4 linked regions of the Neodiprion lecontei genome follow. The protein of the gene in region 3 interacts with the protein of the main gene of each other region in a pairwise test. Links are inferred from orthologs where the notes say so. Each region holds a gene or a part of one and is shown on either strand. Other genes may lie near its edges. The genes, in order: exocyst complex component 2, ralA-binding protein 1, ras-related protein Ral-a and uncharacterized protein LOC107223499.

The links.
Region 1: the proteins of ras-related protein Ral-a (region 3) and exocyst complex component 2 interact in a two-hybrid assay, tested with the Drosophila melanogaster proteins (2 studies listed by BioGRID). The link is inferred for Neodiprion lecontei from reciprocal best matches to the Drosophila melanogaster genes Rala and Sec5.
Region 2: the proteins of ras-related protein Ral-a (region 3) and ralA-binding protein 1 interact in a two-hybrid assay, tested with the Drosophila melanogaster proteins (6 studies listed by BioGRID). The link is inferred for Neodiprion lecontei from reciprocal best matches to the Drosophila melanogaster genes Rala and Rlip.
Region 4: the proteins of ras-related protein Ral-a (region 3) and uncharacterized protein LOC107223499 interact in a two-hybrid assay, tested with the Drosophila melanogaster proteins (2 studies listed by BioGRID). The link is inferred for Neodiprion lecontei from reciprocal best matches to the Drosophila melanogaster genes Rala and GEFmeso.

What each region holds. Positions count from the first base shown.
Region 1 is NC_060260.1:36,127,305-36,134,726, forward strand, and holds exocyst complex component 2, read right to left. Parts: upstream 5,779-7,422; 5' UTR 5,568-5,778; coding exon 5,459-5,567; intron 5,343-5,458; coding exon 5,042-5,342; intron 4,967-5,041; coding exon 4,771-4,966; intron 4,643-4,770; coding exon 4,141-4,642; intron 4,001-4,140; coding exon 3,696-4,000; intron 3,403-3,695; coding exon 3,218-3,402; intron 3,133-3,217; coding exon 3,018-3,132; intron 2,947-3,017; coding exon 2,671-2,946; intron 2,589-2,670; coding exon 2,262-2,588; intron 2,200-2,261; coding exon of another isoform or gene 2,194-2,199; exon of another isoform or gene 2,181-2,193; coding exon 1,996-2,180; intron 1,866-1,995; coding exon 1,679-1,865; 3' UTR 1,661-1,678; exon of another isoform or gene 1,317-1,660; coding exon of another isoform or gene 1,255-1,316; exon of another isoform or gene 1,140-1,254; intron 854-1,139; coding exon of another isoform or gene 553-853; 3' UTR 525-552; downstream 1-524. Other genes in the region: uncharacterized protein LOC107225708, read left to right, coding at 1-255, 322-406, 553-853, 1,255-1,316; uncharacterized protein LOC107225718, read left to right, coding at 6,813-6,921. UniProt on the Drosophila melanogaster protein: Component of the exocyst complex involved in the docking of exocytic vesicles with fusion sites on the plasma membrane.
Region 2 is NC_060265.1:31,648,932-31,653,621, reverse strand, and holds the start of ralA-binding protein 1, read left to right. Parts: upstream 1-1,673; 5' UTR 1,674-1,792; exon of another isoform or gene 1,793-1,901; 5' UTR 1,902-2,107; coding exon 2,108-2,192; intron 2,193-2,572; coding exon 2,573-2,708; intron 2,709-4,072; coding exon 4,073-4,320; intron 4,321-4,411; coding exon 4,412-4,528; intron 4,529-4,690. UniProt on the Drosophila melanogaster protein: Participates in receptor endocytosis during interphase, is also involved in mitotic processes when endocytosis is switched off.
Region 3 is NC_060261.1:40,157,487-40,163,724, forward strand, and holds ras-related protein Ral-a, read right to left. Parts: upstream 4,630-6,238; 5' UTR 4,490-4,629; intron 4,369-4,489; exon of another isoform or gene 4,347-4,368; intron 4,343-4,346; exon of another isoform or gene 4,258-4,342; intron 3,560-4,257; 5' UTR 3,539-3,559; coding exon 3,434-3,538; intron 2,723-3,433; coding exon 2,514-2,722; intron 2,172-2,513; coding exon 1,997-2,171; intron 1,444-1,996; coding exon 1,327-1,443; 3' UTR 618-1,326; coding exon of another isoform or gene 513-617; 3' UTR 507-512; downstream 1-506. Other genes in the region: GATOR complex protein MIOS, read left to right, coding at 5,143-5,263, 5,368-5,565, 5,689-5,979, 6,098-6,238.
Region 4 is NC_060266.1:23,906,944-23,911,507, forward strand, and holds the start of uncharacterized protein LOC107223499, read left to right. Parts: upstream 1-1,524; 5' UTR 1,525-2,362; coding exon 2,363-2,450; intron 2,451-4,564.

The sequences.
Region 1 (7,422 bases), on a different chromosome or scaffold from region 3:
ACGCACGCCGAAAAGTCGAGTCACAAAAAAGATATTGGAGATGCTGATACCACTTAACAGGAGTGCCGTTAGTCGCAGAGAATTGACAAAAGCTGTTTTAGTTTCCACAGTCAATGCTTTGAGATTAGGATACCAAAAACTTGGTAGACTAATGGTCGAGGATGGCCAACTACCTGACATGAATTTGATATTCTTTCTTACCCATCAGGAAATTGGTCTGTTATTTATTAGTTCAAATCCAACATTAGTGCAAAAGTGAGTATTTTGCTTATTCATTACTGAGCATAAGGTTAATTTGAAAAACAAAAAATTGTTTTTTAGAGCGATAAGAAGACAAAGACTTTATCCTCACTGTGACAAAATTCAGTTCCCGGAAGTGAATAGAGGTGTATTAAAACCTATACTGGTAAGTGAAAAGTATTTCCTGTATAATATCAGTTCACAACAATTAAGAAAGTGGTATCCTCCAATTTTTTTTTGTAATGTCTAATCTGTACGTATATGGTAATCTTAACACTATTAAATATTTATAAAAATATTTGTTCTATTTAGGCAGAGCCCAGTACAAAAATTCGTGAGGGAGGTGCTCGGGTATCAGGAACACCAGTCGGTGGAGGGACAGTCCTAGGTCGTGCTTGCATTATCACTAATATAAATGATGCTGTACAACTGAAACCTGGTGATATATTAATAACACAGTGCACCGATATTGGTTGGAGTCCCTATTTTCCAATATTGGGTGGTGTGGTCACTGAACTTGGAGGTCTCATTAGTCATGGAGCTGTTGTAGCGAGAGAATATGGTTTACCGTGTATTGTTGGTGCTGAAGGAGCTACACAAAAATTTCGTACAGGTATGTATGAATCAAAACATCTACACAAAAACAAAAAGAGTAGTAGTACACTTATTCAATTCGTAACTATCATTTTTAACAAAACCTGCAATAGCCCTTGTTTTATCCCTGATTTAAACAGATATAAATATGTGAAATAAAGCAAGCTCTACATAAATATAATTTTGTGTTTGTGATGAAAAAAGCATGTTCCAAATTGTTTTCTCTGATATTTATTTGTGTTATTTTTCTTATTTTCGCTATGCAATATTAGTCGTATTTACAATATGTATTTATAACTCTGATCATAGTCAGTTATCGTGATGCTTAGTATTATTCGTAATATCAGGTATAGACACTAAAACAAAACTTTACTGCTTCCTTTTTTTTTTGTAAACTATATTATCCACTCCTATTTACAGGTGATATAGTATTACTAACTGGAACTACCGGAATCTTGCAAGTCGTTGAAGAGACCACGTAAAGATTCATTTTTCGTGAGTGGAAATTGTATGTATGTACATAGTTTTACACCATCCTAATAATCTGCAAGTTTTTCTATGTATGGGAAGCTGTCGCATAGCAAACAAATGTATGTCTAACAGTTCTGTGTCTCTGTATTTTACAAAATATAAATAATTATACTACTATTTCAAACTGTTTGAAGAATCCATGAAATATATTGTGAATCGTGCACAATTTACTCAATAGTAAATCCCACTTGTACTTAATAGCACGTTATTTGTCTTGATAAGAAGGGATTATGCGGAGTCATGTAAGTTGGTAAAAAAATTTGTCAATCATATAAACTGAAGGAAAAGTGGTTACCAAATTTCCAAATGGAAGTTAAACTGTTGTCGCACGATTTGGATCGGATCCCTTCAGAATAATGCCGTCTGCTGAATCGTCAGCAAGACATGCAAGTTGTAGGCGCATGGAGGAAGCTACTTTGCGCAATAGAGCGTCGACTTTTTGCGAGTCCTCTTTACAGACTGGTTCAGAAATCGCATCCAATGCTTCTTCGAAAAAGCTCCTGTAGGAAAAATGTTGTATTTTCATTATGCTTCAGATTTCTACCCAAGCGAATCAGTGCCACAAATTTATTTGAATCTGATACAAATAGGGCTTCGGTTGGGATTCAAAAAAGAAAGACCAAGATTTACCCAGCTCTCGGAGTAATATAAGAGTGGACAGCACTTGTCAGTAACGTAATATCGACTCTAGCTTGAACAGCTCCTGAAGGACTAAAACGAGTTACACAAGACATCAGCCGTGCTAATTCTTCAGCAACTGTTTCAACAATGTGTGATAAAACTCTCTTCAATAAACCTGGTGAAACCCGTCGTACCTGTTTCATGAAATTACAACTATAAAATGAATCCAAATTATCTGTAATTTTAATATTTTCACATGAAAACAACGTAAATACCTCTGCATGAACTGCGATCAGATTAGTCAAAGCCTCTTGTACGTAAGGCCTCACGTGTGAGGGCTCAATGTCCAAATGCCATTCTAGACCACCTAGGTACATACTTGGTTCTATGGTACCGACAAGGGGATCACAGCGTCGTTCCAAATATGCGTCTAATACGGCACTATCCAATGTATCCAATTGAGTCCAATCGGTATTCGAACTCATGGTTAAAGACAAGGGCGGATAACCATGCTGCTTCAGTGCATCATTAACATGTGGTATTATTGTATTCAGAGTATAACGAATGTTACTCAGTGATATTAGTAAACACTGCTCCCATGTCTGTAGGAAGTGTGATAATTCGGTTGGTAGCGTTTATTGAAAACAGTAACTAGCAATGAAAATATTCAAAGTAAATTCTCACTGGCCCTTGTTGCTTGTCTCTAGTTCTATAGCCAACTGGAGAACCAATCAGTTGTGATACTGAGGATTCATCATCGTCCATAGCTTCTTCACTTCCACTGAAAGCCAGCTGTTGTAAGCATTTTGCAAAAGCAGTGAATAGTGTTTTTACTGCATTATGAAACAGAGTTTGATGACTAGTATGCGCTAGCAAAGGGAGTTCTCGAGGTCCACAAGCTATTACTGTTTCTCGAGCGAGTTTTGACACTTCCAGTACCATTTCTTCAAAAAGACCTGGCTATTCAAGGTAAGTCAAACATAAATAAACTGAATATTTCTCTTGAAATATGTAGTGCCGGAGTGTATTACCAGTCGTGTTACTCCTCCGTGTTCATTCAGATATTCAATTTTCCATGTTTCCTTACGATGTAAGGCAGTTATTTTGTCTGCGGTTTGCTTGAACAATGCCACCAAGCACTGTAACCTGAATTGAACGCAAATGTTTTATTATTCACTTTAAATCATATTAATTCACATTTTGAAACTATCAAATACATTAGAATACCTACCTAAGATCAAATAAGTATTTGCCAAATATGTCTAAGGCCTCACTGGGTAAATCCAAATGAATTAAAGACGCATACGTTTGTCGGATACGTCTCAAGTTATGAAGAAGCCAAGATGCATCCAAGTTTGTCCCACAGGCTGTTTTCATTGCATCCACTGCATGTTGCATACTAGATAGAACCAGGCTCTAAAATATCGAAATAGTATATTATGGCACAATTATGTAAAATGTAGGCATGTGTTACATATGATACTTTTTTGACATAGTATATGTAGAATAATTCGATTTTAAGCACTACTATTAGTGCATAAAATGGCACTTTTCGATGCAGTGTGTAAAATCGAATTACATGCATACTATATGAAAAACCTTATATGGAACATTTTTTTTCTCAGCATTAAAATGAAAAAGTATACCAAGTATTAAGGTTTAAATTAGAAAGTCAACAGCATTTCCTGAGTCATTATTTGAATACTCACTTTGAAGGGGATTTGTTTTTCTATATCAACAGTTACGTGTAATTGTCCTGTAAAATAACTCTGTCCTAAGCGCCATAAGTCTGGTAATTGCTCTGTGACTACATCACAAATAGCTTCAACACATAGAACCTGTGGTGGAACATTATTTTCCTCGTTTTGTTGCATTCTCAATTGTTTGACCGAGGTTGGCGTTAAGCCGTTTGACTTTGGGGTTTTACTCGAATCATCACCACCAGCGTTTTCAGATTCTAAATACTCGTTTATACAAGCTGTCACACTTTTTTCTAAATAATGAGCATGTGATGCTGAAATACAAACATACACCATTGCAGTACATCACAAAGAATTTCAACCTGTATAGAATACTAATGTACTTGACTGACCCGTGATGCCCTGGTTCATGAACTTTCCTATTGAAATTTCACATATATTTAATAGTGCATACCTATCGCATCCCATGCTGGATCACCTTCAGCTGCGAGGTTTACTAAATTTCTTATGATCTTTTTCTGCTCATCCAAAGTGACCGGCATTTCTTCTAATTTTTTTCGGAGCACAGTTCTAAGTTTTCCAATTCTAACTTCAATTTCGTTTAATACTTTTTTAAAAACTTCCAACTCAGTATTACCAAATAGATTCTTCACTCTGGCATAATCATTGATTACCAACTCATAATTCCCTCCCTTTATATTCTTTTCAATGTTTACTGGCATACAGAACAAAAATCGGTAGCGTTGCATCAAAGATAAGGCATTCCTTGTCGCATCCGCTTTATCTCTTCGAGCCAAGACATCATGAAATAGTTTGTCAGCTTCAGCCATTGAATCTTTGATAGCTTTTTCAAGTTTCGCTGTTGGATCTTTGCCATTTTTTTGAACATCTGACTCAAACTGTTCCTTCAGTAGCATAATTGTATCTAATTGCTCCATCACCGAACCAACATTCGCCTATAAATAAATAAAAAGATCAACAAATTACTTGTTGGAGAAGAAAATTAAACAAAAGTGTAAATCAGAAGATCGAATGTTGAACGAATCAAAAAGTATCTGTGTGATGTGAAATTGTCCTGTTTCACCTTGAGAAAAGATAATTGGCCCTCTTTCTGTGAGTGAACTTTGCGTCTGAGATAAGCTAATCCTGCTTTAAGATCATCTAGGGTGGTAGCATGATGATGTTGTAATAAAAACCAGCCTGGGTGAAACTTCTCACTGGCCAATTCACCGCTACCATCGCCAAATAGCTCAATTAATTCATCCTCAGGAAATTTCTTACTGAAAACAATATATTCTGATTAGATCTTGCTTCGTTACTATTGCAGTAATCTTGAATGCAGAACATTTCCTAACTCATTTCCTTCGACGCTGAGTCCTAACGGATCCTCTTGCTGATAATTAGTAGGTGACAGAGCTCGTCTTCCCCATACCAAGCTCTGCATTGGTGCTTCTTCAACCCATACAGCAGATTCTTTCATGGGTCCAATGGTTTCGTGATAGCCACGAAATTGGACGGTCGAAGTACCCTGGCCTCCATTTCTTGTTGTGACTATAATATCACCTCGCCCTTTACCTGGTCCAGAGCGGGCGATGATTTTGTTTGGGGACTTCCATTCAGCTGACAAAAGACACTCGCATCCGCAGATGGTCAAACCTGTAATAGGATGATTTTTTGGAAAATGTACAGCATGTGTATACCTGGATTCAATTTTCAATAGTTGACTTTTACAATTAATGCCAATATTTTCAACAGTGACAGTTCAATCTAACCTATCAGGTCCTGCGCTTTTGCTCCTAAAAACTCGCCCCTCAACGTCACTCGCGTTCCTGGTGGTCCTTCCTTCGGCGATATCCCTGTAACTACTGGCGGTGGTCCCATATCTGCATTGAAAATAATTTCAGATGAATCAGACAATTGTCTCCAATCAATTCCTTATTTTGTGCTTATTTTTGTGGTCAAGATCAGGTTTATCTGTCAAACCGCCCCACGATTCCAGAATATGTCAGCTCGGGTTAGATTAGGTTGGTTAAAAGGTTAGACAAGTTGATGTCAGTGTCATGTCAGTGTCAAAGTGGTGTCAAATGTAATCAGAAATCCTCTTTTACCGATTTTAGTTTGAAATCTAGCGAGAGCCAGACGGGAGCATGAGAAGTTCCAGGAAATTCCACCAGGTAGCAGTTAGTAAACTTTCAAGGCTTTCATCACTTGACTTACGATCGTGACAGTCTGACCACGGCTCGTAAGAGGTCGTAAGTCGTAATCTGGTATCTCTGGCACCTGGGTTGATGGTGAGTGTGTGAGTTTACTCCGTAGTGTGAGTGGAACATAAAGAAAATAACACGTCTCGCTTAGAAATATTTTTACGTTATGAAGGTATCGTCGTTTGACTGGAAGAGGTGTGAGATGTTGATTTTGAGTTTCGCATACTATCTGAACAATATGACGTATTCATATTGTCGACAAATGATGTTTTAATTGTTTGTTGAACTATTTTCAATCATTATCGGTGTGTCGCGATCTAAAATCTCTCTAAATTACGGTATGACACTTTTTCTTCAAGCATGCAGCCCCTCGCGAGTCAACAACCCTTAACGTGTATATCACCTCATAGAATAACATACAATTTTACTAAACATATCTTGTAACCTTCAGTACAATTGCTTTCATCGTAGGGTATTCCTTGATGTGTCAATGTTTACAGAGCCAATCTGCTGGGTAATAAAATATGGTAGGTGATGATTCACCGTTCTTAAATCAACTCCACCTTATCATCATCGTTCGTCATAGAGGTTAGTAAAGGATTTATTTTATTCATATGAATAAAATGTGCAAACCTAGTATGCCGAGTTGTGGTCCTCTACCGTTCCTGGGCATAGACACAATACATCGATTAATAAATTTTTGAGCGAAGTATGCTCTTGACCCGTCCATATTAGCGAATGCAAAATATGAGCAGTTATTTTTTTACGTAACACAACTTATGGAGTAGTCCAATTTCTAGATCCTTCCTAATCAAGTGATTGAAATATTTACAGACAACATCGAATTGCTTCTATATTATAAATATCCTGACTGTCTTTGAAAAGATGTCATATTGTCGAATGATTGACAACTAACTTTAACATGCACGCTGTAGCATTAGAGCAAATAATGGGAGACATTGACAACTCAGCTCCTTGCAATGGTACTTCTATCTTAGAAGATGACCTTGCGTTGAGTCCATCGACGTTGGGTAAGTACAAGTACTATTCCAATCACATAAATCTGAGGGATTTTTAGTTCCACTCATTTTGATTTTTTTTTCTCATAAGTCATGAAAATACTGGCCATAACTGTAAGTCCTTAACAAAATTCGGTTTTTTACTCTTTCTCTCATAACGATTGTGCTGATGCCCTCAAAACTACCCTTGAGTGAAAAAATAAGAAATCAAAACAGGTCTAATCTTTATCTTCACCAGAGATCAATAACATATGTGAAGATTTATATAAACAGATAAAAATTTCAAGAACCTGGAAATGTCAAGAGAAATCTCAATTTCAAAAAATCATTTCGAGAATTTCAGAAAACATGCATATAGGTAACTCCGTGACATATAAGGTGTATTTTTAATTCTTAAAAACCTTCAGGAAATGGAATATTAGTCAATTATTTAGTGTCTTTCTACCATATTTATAGCCATCGTAAAACATTGTATTTAAGGATAATAAATAACATAAAAAAAAAAAATTGAAA
Region 2 (4,690 bases), on a different chromosome or scaffold from region 3:
TTGCGCAGAACGATCCCCCTCTCTAGTTTTTTGGTCGCCTTTGCGCACCTCCCCTCTTTTCTAGGAATTCTAATTAGGGCACGACATCTTCGCCGCATGCACGCCTGTGATCTTATTTCTTTAGCTATTACTATATTGTAGGTTTTTACGTATGGTATATCGCTGCTTGGTGCGGTGGTGTAGGTGCGTGGACTTGGTTCCGTAGTTCTCCGAACTGCGTGAGCTTTTCGTTGTGTCGCCAGCCCCCTTTGTGGCGCCAGCCCCCTTTGTGGCGCCAGCCCCTTTGTGGCGCCCGTCAGCCACTTAACTACCTGTCTACCTCTGAATGTTTTTGCTATCTTGCTCGTTACAAAGCCCATATTTCATTTTGGTTACCTGTCGTTTGTTAGTTTTATAGTTATATCTATATAGAATTGTATATGTATTATAGTCGACTACTGTCGTTGTTAGTTTTATAGTTGTATCTATATAGAATTGCATATGTATTAAAGTCGACTACTGTCGTTGTTAATCTGGAGTACAATAGCAATTGTTTATGAACATAGTTTGTTATTTGTTTAGCATTATTAGAATCACGCTGCTGCGAATATCTTTAGTTGTTTGTGTTATAACTATCTTAACAGATTTAGGGTACTTAGTAATTTGATGATTCATAGCTTTAGAGCAGGTTTACATGTGTGCTTTTGTATATGATTCCCTTCTGTAGTTGTTAATTCTTATATTGATATAAATCGGCTTGGAAGCTTCTAGAACGTTTTCGTTTCGTCGGTAAGTTTCCTAATGTATTCTCTAGGTAAGGCTCTGTATGGCTCCACATTGGAGATCTGCATTGCCTTCAAAACGTTGCGCGTGTTGCCTACAATACGGCGTTGCGGAAGAAGGTATAGTTCATGCTGGGTAATTAGCATTCACGGTTTGATGGTTTTGCAGTCTCTGGTTTTATGGGTTATTGCAGCAGTGCTATCTTTACATTATATTGGTTATGCATTTATCTATGGTTTTACAGTCTTCTATACTCCAGGCTATATAGTAAAGCGTATGTTGCTTAAGTATAGCTCTCAGCTCCGAATGCACAAATGGCATTGCTGAGTGCTATATAATAATTGGGTATAATTGTGTTAGTTAATTATAGTGTTAATGTGATAGTGATATATAATAACGTATAATAATATTATAGTTCTCTGTAGTACGAAGATCTCGTAACATGGTTTGTAAGCCTTGGCTAGTGAATTTCATAGTTATTTCCATCTAGGGGTATTCCAAATAGTTAGACAGTTGTTTTAATTTCTTATGGTTACAAGATTCTCGTACTTAGAGTTTGGTTAGTTGATAAAAGTAACATGCAGTAATAATAATCGATAAAACATACGGACGTTCCGGTCGGACGTTACACACTCCTCAGCAATCCCTAGTACACTACCCTAGTTCTTTTTACACTCGCGAGTGTAGAGTATAGCTAGCACGAACAAACCTAGGCCGTGTTCGTAAATTGACTGCCAGTACTAAAAATTCCCTAGGAAAGAGACAGAGCTGTCCATGAACTCGGCAGCGCAAATGAGATAAAAGATTGCCGACAGTGGTGTCAGTCAATTTTCGAACACGGCCAAAGTGTAACGAAAGTCTAGTGACATTTGTAAAACAAACAGCGCCATCCGACGTCACGTCCGCTAAAACGAACGCGCAAGTGTACACCCCCACGAAAGTGTAGAAAGTGTAGCTAGCACGAACAAACCTACTACCAAATAGGGCCTCTAAATTGGAATTGTCCGACCTTTATACGAGGCCCTAGTCGGTAACTTGCCATCCAATTTTCCTGACACACCATCTCCCATAAGGCCAGCGCCCTTTAGTAGAGTATGAACTGCATCTTCACGTTGACTGACCAACGGTCTTCATTGTAGATTCACTGTTCACCGACCAAACCTGACCAAACTGACTATGTTGCATCCGTCAATCAATGTCAAGCTACTGTCAAACAAGTGAAAACCTACAATCATTTTGAAGGAAAAGACGGAACAAAGAACTGTCGAATATTGCGACATGCCTGGAGGTTGCAGATTTCTCAAACAGTCAACACGTTTACAAGAAAAGTCATAATTGTATAAAGATGGATTTCGAAAGCCCTGATGTTGAAAAAGATTTTCCTGGCTTGTACGCTTCGGAATCCGGGAGAAAGAGCAATGAAAGCGACTGTAAGATATTAATGATTCTTCATCCTAGGAGCACGGGCTCATTTTTTGCTTGCAGAAATCGCACACGCATATTCACACGCGCGCGCGCGCGATAGTATTACATTCCTCCTGTGGAAACTATGTTCCTATTTCGGCATAAATCTCCCAATTTTCTCGAGAGTTGAATAAATCTTCATCGAGTTATATAACTTGTAACGGACATATACATGTAGGCCAAACTTCTGTGTAGAGCTACACAAGGTTCACGAGACTTGCGTGTAGTTCTAAGTATTGAAGCGTAGCATTTTTAATGACACCTGTAGTGTCTGACATTCGACTTGAAATTTATAGTTTTAAAAATCAAACAAACCACTAGTTCAAACAATATTTATGTTGGAAAGTTAGTGACGATGGACACGATAGGCCGTCTAAGAAGGAACTTCTCATTGGCAAACGTAAGGACAAAAAAGACAAAAAGGATCGTGGATATGCTACGCTAGAGGGTGAAAGCTCCCCAGAAGAAGACATCGAAACTAAGTATTGTAATACTTATGCCTTTATAGTAATAATGCCTTTCATGCAGAAATTATATTCATTTTTTTAGTATATCATGGAAAAAATAGAAGACAACATCTATCAGATGTTATCTCTAATTATGATACTTTCTCAATCAGATATCTCAGTTTATTGAATTGTTGCCTGCTATTCAACACATATTTGTCCACGGAATTAATTTCAATAATTATCATTCAAATCGCTGAATGATGTACATTTGCGAAGATGTATTGAAGGCAACAAAAGTGTCTTATATAATACTAATATGGATTACGCGTCTTTTTTTTACGTCTTTTCCGGATGTAAAGCAATCACTTTTACGACAGTATAAATAAAGAGCATCGAAGTATGTAAAAGTACACAAAAACATCCTAGTATTTCAAAGTGCTCTTTTTCGTACTTGGTTAAAAATAAAAATTGTGAGCCACACTTCTATTACGTAAAGTATTATGTGCACCATGGAGGGAAATTATATTTTGACTCACGTATTTGCAATATTTGTCTTCGGCTTGCGTAAACATGCTCACTTACATCTCATATTGCAAACTTGTGCTTGGCGTGAAAAGATCTACTTTGCTTCTTTGGTGCACAACCTACTATTACAATTACTGATTTCTGTTTTGCTTGAAATCTTCCGTAATTCCTCATAATCGCTTTTAGTGAATTTTTTCTATCACGCTAAACCTTGTAAGGGTGCTCACTATTACATATTCTTAATCAACATTAGCATGGTAGATCTAATTACGTTTGCAGCCCATTAGCTGTTGCCTGTCGATTGGCTGAGATTCTGAAATTAATAGCTTCTGTCATCACTCAGAGATGCATGGCCCTCATATTTTCTTTACGTAAATACTATTCCCAGCTACTCTGTTTTTGCTTGAAAAAAATAAGAGTGCTTAACGAATATGTCTATCAACTGCTTTGTTTCTAGTTGCGGTGACTTAATTTTGTTGATTATACTTGCTCTAATTTACTTAACAAACCTATATTTTGTGATAAAAGTTTTTATTTACTACGTACAAGAGACAAGCAATTAATTTCTTACCTAATAACATTTCCACATGTTATTTAGCTATGCACACTCACTCAAGACAGTTCTTGTAGGTTTAGATATGAAATTAGTATCTTATATGGTTGAGACTATTACAAATGAGTTAACGGCTTCTGCGTATCGCATCTATTGACTTGCGATATATTTACAAAATAGATGTAAAAGGGACTTATAAATCCCCATCCTACACAAACGTTTTTGAATTTATATGTATATATATCTAACGAAAGATAAATGTGTTTGGCCATCTTTTCATATTGTACGCATTGTACTTCTTAATGTATACATTTCTTAGGAGTCCATCGAAGTCAAAAAAGTCTAAAACATTCAAGTTCCCATCTAAGAAGGAAAAGCGAGAGAAATCCAGAGAAAAAGATGGTAAGGAAAAGGAAACAGATAAAGAGAGAGAGAGGAAAAAAAAAGACAAAGACGACAAGGATACGGACAAAGAGAAACGTAAAGATAAAGATAAGGAGAAATCTAAACAAAAGTTGAAGGATCGCAAAAAAGGAAAACATTGGGAAGAAACTGTTGATATTGGTGGTAAGACAACTGCAGAGAATACTGAAGCCCTGTGATTGGGGTGATATACCAATAAAAAATTAATCAATCTTTATTGATCAACATGTTTCAGAAGAACAACCAATCTTTGGCGTTGCTCTTCAAATGGCTGTGGAAAGAGGCCGTTGTCATGACGGAGTGGAGCTTCCATTGGTTGTAAGAAATTGCATTGATTACATTGAAGAATATGGCAAGTCAATAGCATCAATAATTATATCTTTGAATATTTAGTGACAACTGGCTAGACGGCCAGGCTCATGTACTTCATCTTGATGGTCAATTTGTGTGGAAGTGCTTTTGCAGTATAAAAATATCAAGGTCTAGAAGAGGCATTTAAAAGTCTCCTGTGTAA
Region 3 (6,238 bases):
GCATTAGATATACAAATGACATAATTTGCAACTTGCCAGTCGAGTATAATGACGATGCAATGGAATCAAATGACGAGTAGGTATTACACATGTACAAAAATGATGCAAAAATATTTGCATGTTCAAATATGAGCAGTGGAAATAGTGTGAGGTTCCTATAATTGCAAATTACTTTGTACCAAATTCATCAGAATAGAGGGCACAAGCATTGCACATTTCTTGTGCATATACATATAGGTGTACATTTAAATTAGTTTGTTACGACTGGGCATTTATCATGTATTGTTGAAAACATTACAGCCACTAATGAGTGTAAAAATTACAGCTGCACGAATTGCATCAAATATTCATTTGAAATGGTATAAGCAGATGTCAGGGCCAAATGATTATTATCCCTTTTTGAAGAAATGTGAAATATCTTCATGCCATGGAACAAAGGAGCTATTTATATTATTATACCTCGCTAAGAGATACGCAGCAATGATTTCAAATTATGATCGTTTTTGAATATGTTAAAGTAATATGCAGCAACTTGGTTTCTTCTTCCGTTCACCCCCCTCACCCTGATTTTCTTGAGCCTTGCGTGCAGCTATTGCTCGCATTAGGTCAAAGAATACCTGGAATTATCATTCTTTCAATTTTATAAACTACCAAACAAAAATGGTATTGTGTAGACAAGTTTTAAGTAATTTAAATGGTAAGAATTATTTGAAAGTCAGGTGATATTTCTGTCTGGCAGATAAGTTGGTAAATTTAAGAATTATGTTGCTTGAATTAAAGTTTGACACATGTAAATAAATAATATTATCACTTTGGATCAAAGTTAAGCAGCTATTAAATTCAACTTTCTAACATTAAGAAGCATTCCATTTACAAAAGCTGTACTTTTTGAACATTAATTTTAAGCAAAACTAAATAAAAATTTAACAAAGGTAAAAGAAATTTACAAATCAGCTACAGACATTAAATAATAGACTATTACATTTGCATCAGTACATGGAAAGATACGTTGAGCTGAATTCAATAAAAAAACGGAAGTAAGCAATATGGCATCGCAACAAGGTAACATCAAAATTTTTATGCGTATGAACCATTACAGAAATATTATGTTGAACTTTTATATCATATTATATAGTAAGTTTTTGAAAGTTTCAAAAAACGTTTCCAAAATAAATAAGCATGTATGCTGTAGTTGGATTGCGATACATGTACCAATAGATTTTAGTTGTGAGTAGGTAAGTTTATGCAGAGGGGAAGACTGATGCACTGTTTATAGTATGAAAATACCATATGAGGAGAATAAAAGTGCGAGAGGAGATTGCCAACCTATAGAATAATGCACATCTTTTTCTTTCTCTTGGCACGATCCTTTCCACGGCCATTACTTGCAGATTTATCTTCGATCTTGCGAGACCTTATCTCGCGCATTAGGTCGAAAAATACCTGAAAATGCGCAAGAGATACTCTGTCTCAAGACTTGTAAGCATGAAGCAGATGCAGTCATACAATTTAAACAATAACTTTGCTGAAGTGTTTCATTGATGTAGATATTTGGTTTGTGACTTTTGTATGAAAACACAAATAAAAAACTTTCTGAAAACTTGAATACTAGAGTTCTCAAGTTTGCAAATCGTGTAGAACACATTTAGATTACATTGATATAAATGCCACCAAACGTGTCCATATCTATTTAGTGCAGATGATTAAGCCACAAAATTCATGCAAATTTTATATAAACAAATTTGCTTGGCTGACAATAAGAGTGCGCAGCAAAATGTGAACATATACAAATTTAAGCCTTAGTTCTATAAATAGGGCACTGAAAGCAGTATCTGCAGCAATTGTGTTTACACTTTTATATGTTAAAAAAAAAAAAAAAAAAAATTATTTTTACCAGTTACTTGACAGAACTGACCAAAAGAATAAAGTATGTTGGTTACGCATAAATTTTGCTACGAGAGCTCAATATCTTGACCAGGAAAAGTTTATAGCATACCTTGTCAACGTTTTCTCTTGTTTTTGCACTAGTCTCAACATAGGGAACACCCCACTGTTGCGATCTAGCTTGTGCCTCGGCTAGATTGACTTTTCGTTTTTCTTGAAGATCGCTTTTGTTTCCCACCAGCAGAAAGGGAATGTGATCGTCATTTTTTACTCTCAGAATTTGTTCCCTGTTGAGGAAATTGTTCATTGAATATCAATCAGTTGTAATCTGACACCAAATTTTTTTTCTATTCTAACTTGATAAGACACTGCTGCATGCAGTAACAGAATAATAATAGAGATAGCAAGAGTGAGTCTTCATACGATATTAGATACCCTAATAATATTTCGAAAGGCATAAATGTAGAAACAAGGGTCAAGAGGCAAGCAACAGCGAGGAGACAGCTGCCTTCGAGCTTACGATCAACCATATATTTATACTCTAACTGTTTAGAAATATGATGAAAATTTTCCTTTCCTTGATATTGAATAACACAACTAAGGAGTTATATTAATATTTTTACTCTTACCTAAACTCCTGAGTGGCCTGAAAACTATCATCTTCTGTTATAGAAAATACGCAAAGAAAGCCTTCACCACTGCGGAAATAATTATCTCTAATAGCTGCATAATCTTCTTGACCTGCTGTGTCTAAAATATCTATTTGTACTTCCTCCGCATCCAATACAACAGTCTTCCTGTACGAATCAGCCTTTGTTGGCTCGTAATCTTCAACAAACTAAAATGACACATGGTTGTAGATATGAATGACTAAAAATGCAAAATAAAGAGTTCCACAATTATATTGTGCAACAAGATAGGATCATTTGTGCTGTGAAACTATTGATTACTTGCAGTCTATAACAAAAATAGATTATGTTTCAACTTCGTTATTAGCAACTGACAATCACACAATGATTTTGAGGAAATTGGATCATAAGGTCTAAAAGAAATTTATCAACCCTTTTTTGGCCTTTCTTAACACAAAATTATGGGAAAGTGAAAGTGAAAACAAAATTTATACCCTAAAAGATCAAGTAAACAATATCCACAGCTACTTGATTGTTACTTTAAAATATTCCAAACTATTTCCCAGCCGTCAGAAAGCTGGGGTTCATTGCTGGATGGAAAGTTTTCTTATCATGATTGGTACTACTATCATGTTATTCAGAAAAGGACTGCAACGAAGTGTTTGTTACTCTATGCTGACCAACACTCTCAAAAATGTCATTTCAGATAAAGTTCCCGCCAACGTATTCATGTTTGGCATTATAAAAATCGATACAAAACAGTTTCTTTCGATTGTTAAGTTGAATAGTAACCTATTTACATTACACAGTGTTATACATTCGTTCCAAATGACTGAAATCAACTGAACCTTGTACTTCTTCAAATCTAATTAAAGTTTGAATGATAGCCTGATAAGGGGCTGAAGAAATCACCCACATACCTCGTCGTACATGAACTGTAGAGTCAGGGCGGACTTTCCAACACCTCCGCTACCTACCATTATGACCTTATGAAGGGCCTGTGTGGCGCCTGGTTTTTTAGACATTTTTGTATGTGGAATTTATATCTGAAATATTAATATCAGAATGTAAATGACTGAAATTTGCACATTTAATAATATGTAATTGTTGATTGATTACGCGCATGTAGAACAGAATTTCTCATTATCTGGAGGAAAAAACTCAATACTTTATAAGCTACATGAACTACGCCTCCATTACTATAATAGAGATCTGAAAGATATGGAAATCCTATTGTCAGCATGGGAACCATGGGAGTAAGGTGAACAAATGTTTACGTTTCTCGCATGCACTCAACACTCATTATTGTTGTTGTGTTTGATAATTTTTCTACTAATAAATAAAGACTTTACATTTATGTAAAATATGGGAATTTTCTTAATGTTGATTAATTAGGACACTGAAAATTTTCCTGTCTTCTCCTCTGAGATGTAAATGGAAATTTTACCAATTTTATCGCTGTCAATTGTGTAATATTTAACTATGAATATATGTAAAAACAATCAAACCACAACTACGATATTACGACATACTGTTAAATAATGGTCATCTATTAGAAAGTTTACAAATAATACATTGTTGATACGCGTATCTAATCGACTTTAATCTTGACGGAAAAATGAAACATTGTAATGAGGTTTAGTTGTAACAATGTGACATTGTTGTTTGAAAATAGTTACTGCATCAAATTTGTTGAAACCATTATTACGCATTTAACACCAATTAGTACAGACTTGGAAATTACTTCGATCTCACAATAAAACATCAAGATTAAGGGCGTATTCGTAGGATGAATAACCAAAAGGCGTTGCCGCGCTGTCGGGTGCTAGTTACCAGAGGAAGTCAATATTCGTGTTTCATATATGGCAATGTTTCCAATTTATGAAAGTGTACCGTTATTTTACGGATGCAGGTTTAATCGGCGAATCTCTTGGGGGTATGATTGCAAAAATAACAACAGAAAAATGATTAATTACCTTCAAAAATCGGTCAATCGCAAAGCCCGACGTATCGAACGCTCGCATCCGTGATCCGTCACGCGCTGGTTCTTTATCGAGCCGTTAAAGCGCCAACACATGGCGCTGCTGAGTGTTGAAAGTCGTCTGCTTCTGTCACTCGATCTGTCACCGACTCAGTTTCGGTGCTTTCCCAAAATTCAAAGCTATTGATTATCCCACAGAATATGCTCACAGTTAACTACTTTCAGATGTTGTGGTGAAGTAAAATATTTGATTCAAATTTTCTTCACCGCTCTTCACTAGCAGAATTATCACTTTTCGAAAACGACTTTTCGCTTGCGAAATAGTTTCGCGCACGCGCAGATCGCTATTTGGATGCGCTAATGGACAAATACGGCGCAACAAATTGCGTTGAGGCTATGTTGTCCCGAAATCGGTAGATTCACTGTGATTGTTTTTTTACGCTATTTATCGGATTGTTCAAACGTATAATGGAACCAATTTTGGACGTGCAATAGCCGCCACAATTTACTGTCGGAAAACAAATGTTCCGCCGGTGATAGAGGTTTAGTTTTTACATCATTAATTATCGGAGAAACATATTTTACTAATGTAAACAACACGACCTGGTAGTACACGGATTTTAAATTAACCTACAATATTATTTGACAATGAGTAGCGTTAAGTTAGAAGTTCAGTGGTCATCGATACACCCAAATAAATTCATTACTTGGGGCACCGAAATATGTTTATACGAAGTTACCCAAATCAAAGATAGTGTCAGGCCTTCTTGTGAGTAGAGACCCAAAGCCTATTACAAAACACGTATTGTTGTTATTTCTTGAATATCGCTTTGTTGGGTGTTTATATTTTATTAACAAAAGAATTATTTGCAGGTATTAAGATCTCTGACTCTACAGTCGCCCATTTATTGGCAACGAACACAAACCATCACTATGTTAAATGCATTGATATTTACACCCAACCTGAGCCTGACATTCTATTGGCAGTTGGGCAAGCGAATGGTAAAGTTGTACTAACTACTTTTGGCCCAACGGCATTCGACTCTCTTGGACTTACTGGCAAGGAACTTGGTAAATGAAATTCACCAATAATTGTTCTGGAAGTTGTATTCATTTTCTTCTCTTTTTAAGTTATACGGTATAATATTTTAGCTTGCTTTTTTCTTCTAATCATATCCGTGATCACTTTGCTAGCTCCGAGGCATGCAAGGCAATGCAATACGGTTGCATGGAATCCGGTAGACCCAAATTTAATAATTTGTGGCTTGGATAAGCACAGAACGGATTCTTCCGTTTTATTATGGGATGTCCTGAAAAGTCCAACTGGATCGCATCACCACAGTAACATGCAGGCAGAATCTGTCAGACCTATAGCAGAGGCTGGAGTCTCTGAAACAGCACATTCCCTCGCTTGGTTCCTTAACGAACCAAGATGTTTGGTTGTTGGAATCAATAACAAACATTTAAAGATTATTGATTTTCGAGGTAAGACATTATGGTACTGGTGGTTATTAATTAATTTATTGCCAATGAAGGATAATTGGAACTTCTGCCTTTTATTTGTGTTGATTCAAACATCTTTTTGTATTAATCATCTGTTTAGATTGTGTGAAGGTAGTGAACTCAACGCCAACAAAAGCAGTGTACAGTTTGTCAGTAGATCCTCATAACAATTATCACTTAGTTTCCCATATTGAAAATCAAATTCTTATATGGGACACTCGTTACTTTGAAAAACCGATAT
Region 4 (4,564 bases), on a different chromosome or scaffold from region 3:
GTATAAAAAAAGTGTTCCAACGCACGTTGTATTGTACATATATACATACATATATATATAGTATACTCAAGTCACAAATCCGTTCGGAGTCGAGAGCACGAATCGAGGCGTCGTCCTTATATACGGAGGGAGGTCCAGTATGGAGAAATAAAAGAGATTTTATTGCGAGCGGCGAAATGCAGCAGAGCTGAGATGAGATGATTTGAGAGATGACGGGGGAATAGTGGAGTACGTAGTGGGATTGATGAACGAAGCGCGTTGCCCCGAGTTAGGACTCGACTACTCGTATAACTGCGGCAGGTTCGTATCATTGTACGTACGTAAGTTCAACGGTCTGTTGCCGTCGCGTCGAGACTAATCGGTGATCCGTGATCGAACGTGCGTTTGAAATTCCAATTTATCGATGGCACAATTTTATTTTTCTAATTACGTTGGGGGAGGGGCGGAGGTCGAGGGTTTAAGTTTGAATCCAGAATTTCGAAAAGATTCTGCGATAGCTTCGGCCGCCATTTTTAATTTATGGAAGAATTTGTTTTTGTCGAATAACTGATCACCGATTTTAATCACCGTTTATTTTCATTAAAAATGACAATAAATAAACTTGAAAGAAATTTAATTTTATACATCACAATTTGGTAAAAATTTTTGGTCACGTTGGATATTTACAGATTTGAACTGTAAATTCAAGATGGCGGCTGAAGCTACGGCACGCAGAATTCGGTCGAAGTTCTAGATTTTGACCATCGCCCCGAGCGATTGGAAAAAATAGCATATTCTGTAAAAAAGAGACAAACACGGTCTTTTCGGGGCGAGCCTAAGTTTGCAATATAAGTCGTAGATGAAGAAACACGCGAGGCGAAAAGACCGTTGCCTCCTTGTTCCACGCGATTCTTTACATAGCAAAAGTGTGTAACGCGTTTTTCTACGAAGCACGAAAATTCAAGTTAGGTTCGCGCAACGTCAGATTTTTCAGCGTCGGCGCACGCGCGGAGTACAATAAAAGACCACTTTTCAACTCCTCCGCGCATGCGCGTTCGCAAACTGACTCTTCCGTCGTAGAACCGGGTATTTCGCGTACTCAAAACACGGATGGAAAAACGCTCAAAGCATGTTCTCGTTTGTATAACCCCGATTTATACGAACGCTGGAAAACTGGTTAGAGAAAATCTTGCAGTAATATGATTTCAGGGAGCACAACAGTTCAGTTTCAGCGTGTCTCGATGAGTCGTTCGTGAACGGCAACGGATTCTCGGTCCGTCCCGTTTCGTCTTTCCTTCATCTTCTTCTTCCTCATCTTCGTCTCCTTCTCAACGTCATTAAAAGTTTCGATATCGTCGTCGATTTTAAACCGTGAGACGGATGGATGCAAAGCATCGGCATCGTCAGCAGCAGCAGCAGCAGCAGCAGCAGCAGCAGCGGCAACTCCTCGCATGCATCGTAGGTTACATACGTGCGTCTCCACTAAGCTTATATATAGGTATATGATACGGAGAATCGAGGAGGACTGTTTCGTCTGTTTCTCTGCCGCTTTAGTCCGTGTCGCGACCTCGCGCCGAGGGGATGTCGTTCTTCCTCGAGCGTTCATCGCACGCCGTTTGCCTCCACGATACGTACTCTTTACGTCCTTCTTTCTTTATTTTTACACGCGTGCACGGTATTACAACAGTGGACTCGTCGTTGCGTATCCCTTGTACTTGAACCACGGCTACTTTGTCGCATCTAGTCCATCCTCGAGTTTTCTCTCTTAATTTTCTTCCTTGCGTATCATCGTCAGAAATGAAGAATTTTTTTTCATCTCTTCAAACAAACGAGTAAATAATAATATACATACTTCGTAGAGAAAACAGAGAAGAGAAATAATAACTAAATTAATCAATATTCTGTACAGTTCGTTCGTTGATTTTCAAACAGTTGTTTCAAAAAACCGAATAATTCACGATTCTTGTAATACTGCAAGTGATGATTATAAATAACAACAGTGACAATATTGTTCGTTTTCTTTCCTCCACCGCCACCACCTCCTCCTCCTTTTCCCTCTTAATCGTTATCGGTGATCAGTGATTGAGTACAATGCATAATATATAATATATAACATCCTCGTATCGTATAATTTCGTAATCCTTGTGAAAACCGCAGTGATTGCAAGTTCGTTCAAAGTTGCAAGTAGGTATATACCTACACGCATCTGCGTTGTAAATTTATCATCAATATCCCGATATCAACCGACCACATATTCCATGAAAAAACGACACCAGGCGTATCCCGCGTCCACGTTTGCTTGTAAAAAATCATCGTTACACAAATACGCACCGTGAAAAGATATTGAAATCGATAAATCAACCGGCTGGATAATTAAATAATAATGGGAAGCGAGGCTGTCAAAAGTGGAAACGTCCGATCGAGTACCGTCGTTGATTCAGATGGATCCGATACATGGGAAGATTTTTTCGGTAAGTTCCGCGTGTCTCGTTATTGTAATAAATAAAACCGCATCGATCTTTCATGATCTATTCTTCCTCCTCGTTCAAACAGAATTATCGAATTCTGTTACGTTACATATTTTTCTCTACGATAATATCTCCAATATCCTTCTCAATCGCCACGTTTTTCAAATTTCTATCATGTCGAAGTTAGTAACGTTACCGCAACCGATTCGTGCTGAGATTAAAAACCGTTATTATCTCGCGATTTTGGAACTATTTGAAATCGAGTAAACCGCGAAAAAAAAAACAAAACATACCGATTAATATTTTTCCATCTCAATTCTTTCATAAATTATTGTAAAAATAAGAAAATAGTCATGTTTTCCACCATGTTTCTAACTTCAACCTTGTGAATTTCTTCACTTCCACTTGTATATAATAATGTATATAGGTATATATATATACATATACATCGATACAACACAGGATTAATTCTTTTATCTTCCTTTCCTTATTCGTCACACATTTTCGCGCCAATGAATCGCGATTATCAATAACGTAGGTATATGTTATACACACGGATAGACCTGAGACAGTACAACGTTTTGTGTGAAATAACACGCCTCTAAAGAATTCCTTGTTTCATTGACATTCGTATTCCCATTATTACGTACATAATAACAAATGTGATCCAATACCGCGAAAAATATATTGTTAATCATCCATGTACAACATATACACGCGCGTATGAAATATCTTTGCGAAAAGATGTGACAACAGTATGGAAAGAAATTCTTGGAAAAACGCCCCGCCGCATTGTATCGTAGTAGACGATAATATTGTCTATTATGTTGCACGTACGTTTTTACACCTACAAGCGTACACGCCTTGAATCTCGTCTCTTTCCTCGCCTTTCCACCCTGTGCCTGGTGGTTATATATTTTCACGATTCAAGCTTTTCTCCTTCGACGCACGTGCGTGCGCGCAGCCTGATTTTAATGCCGACAAGCATCGGCGTTGCGTGCACTGGCAACGCATTGGCTGATTCTTAAATTCCGCAAATCGGTACACCATGCGCATATGGACCGATCCCTTTATTCGTATGTGTGGCAAATCGGGTTGCGGCCTGTACAATTAATTGTGCACGAGACGACGAAAGAAGAAACGAAGAGAATTTATTCACGGTGATACGATACGTTTTTTTCTTCTTTTTTTTCTTCGTTACTAAAATAAAGAAGAAAATTTCTAGCGAAAAGTTGGGCAAAAATATGTCACGTAGAGTGAATTTCTAACGACCGAATGGTCTGACGCGCGTGCGCAAAAATTCGCGCAGCAAGAGGAGCTGTTGTTTTATCAGGATGAGCAACGTTCGCAAGATTTGTCCGTAGACTCGCCGCGACGTAAATAACCTAAAAAATGTTGTTGGCCCTGACAAACGAAAAGCTGTACCGTCGCTTTCGAATTTTAGCGCGTTCGCGTTAAAACCATCCAGTCGTTAGCGAATCACTCTCTCTGTACGCGTATGTACACATACTTGTGTTACAAAACGAAAGAAATATCAGGCACGGAAGAAAAAAAAAAAAAAATAAATAAACAAACAAGGTAAACAAACAAAATTCCTTTGTAAAAACGCTTGGTTGCATTAAACAATAATAACAAAATCGACGCTGCAGGTAAAACGACAAGAAAAAATAAATATACGTATACCTTATACTATAGTTCAGAAATCTGAGGAGCTTCAAATGCGCAGAATAAACGTTTCAACAAGCGGCACGTTTATGATACGCAATGAATTTTTAAATACACGTACAATTGTACAGACTTGCAATTTTATTCGTCGTTTATCGTTTCTTTCCTCCCTCCCTTTTTTTTTTTTTTTTGTTTTTTCTTTTTTCTCCCCTGTGTATTCGTTTCGAGAAAATCGTTCGATTATTTACTTCAACGTTAGAGAGTGACTAGATAACCAGAGTAAATAATCTGAGCTATACCACGTGCACCTTATAGGTAGGTAGGTTGGTCGGTTGTATATCCACCCTGTAGTTCTACAATATGGAAATGTCACTCGCCCACGCGTTGAACCGGAATAAAATAAAGGATAACAAAAAATATGTATATAAAGAGAAAAAAAAAAAAAAAAGAAA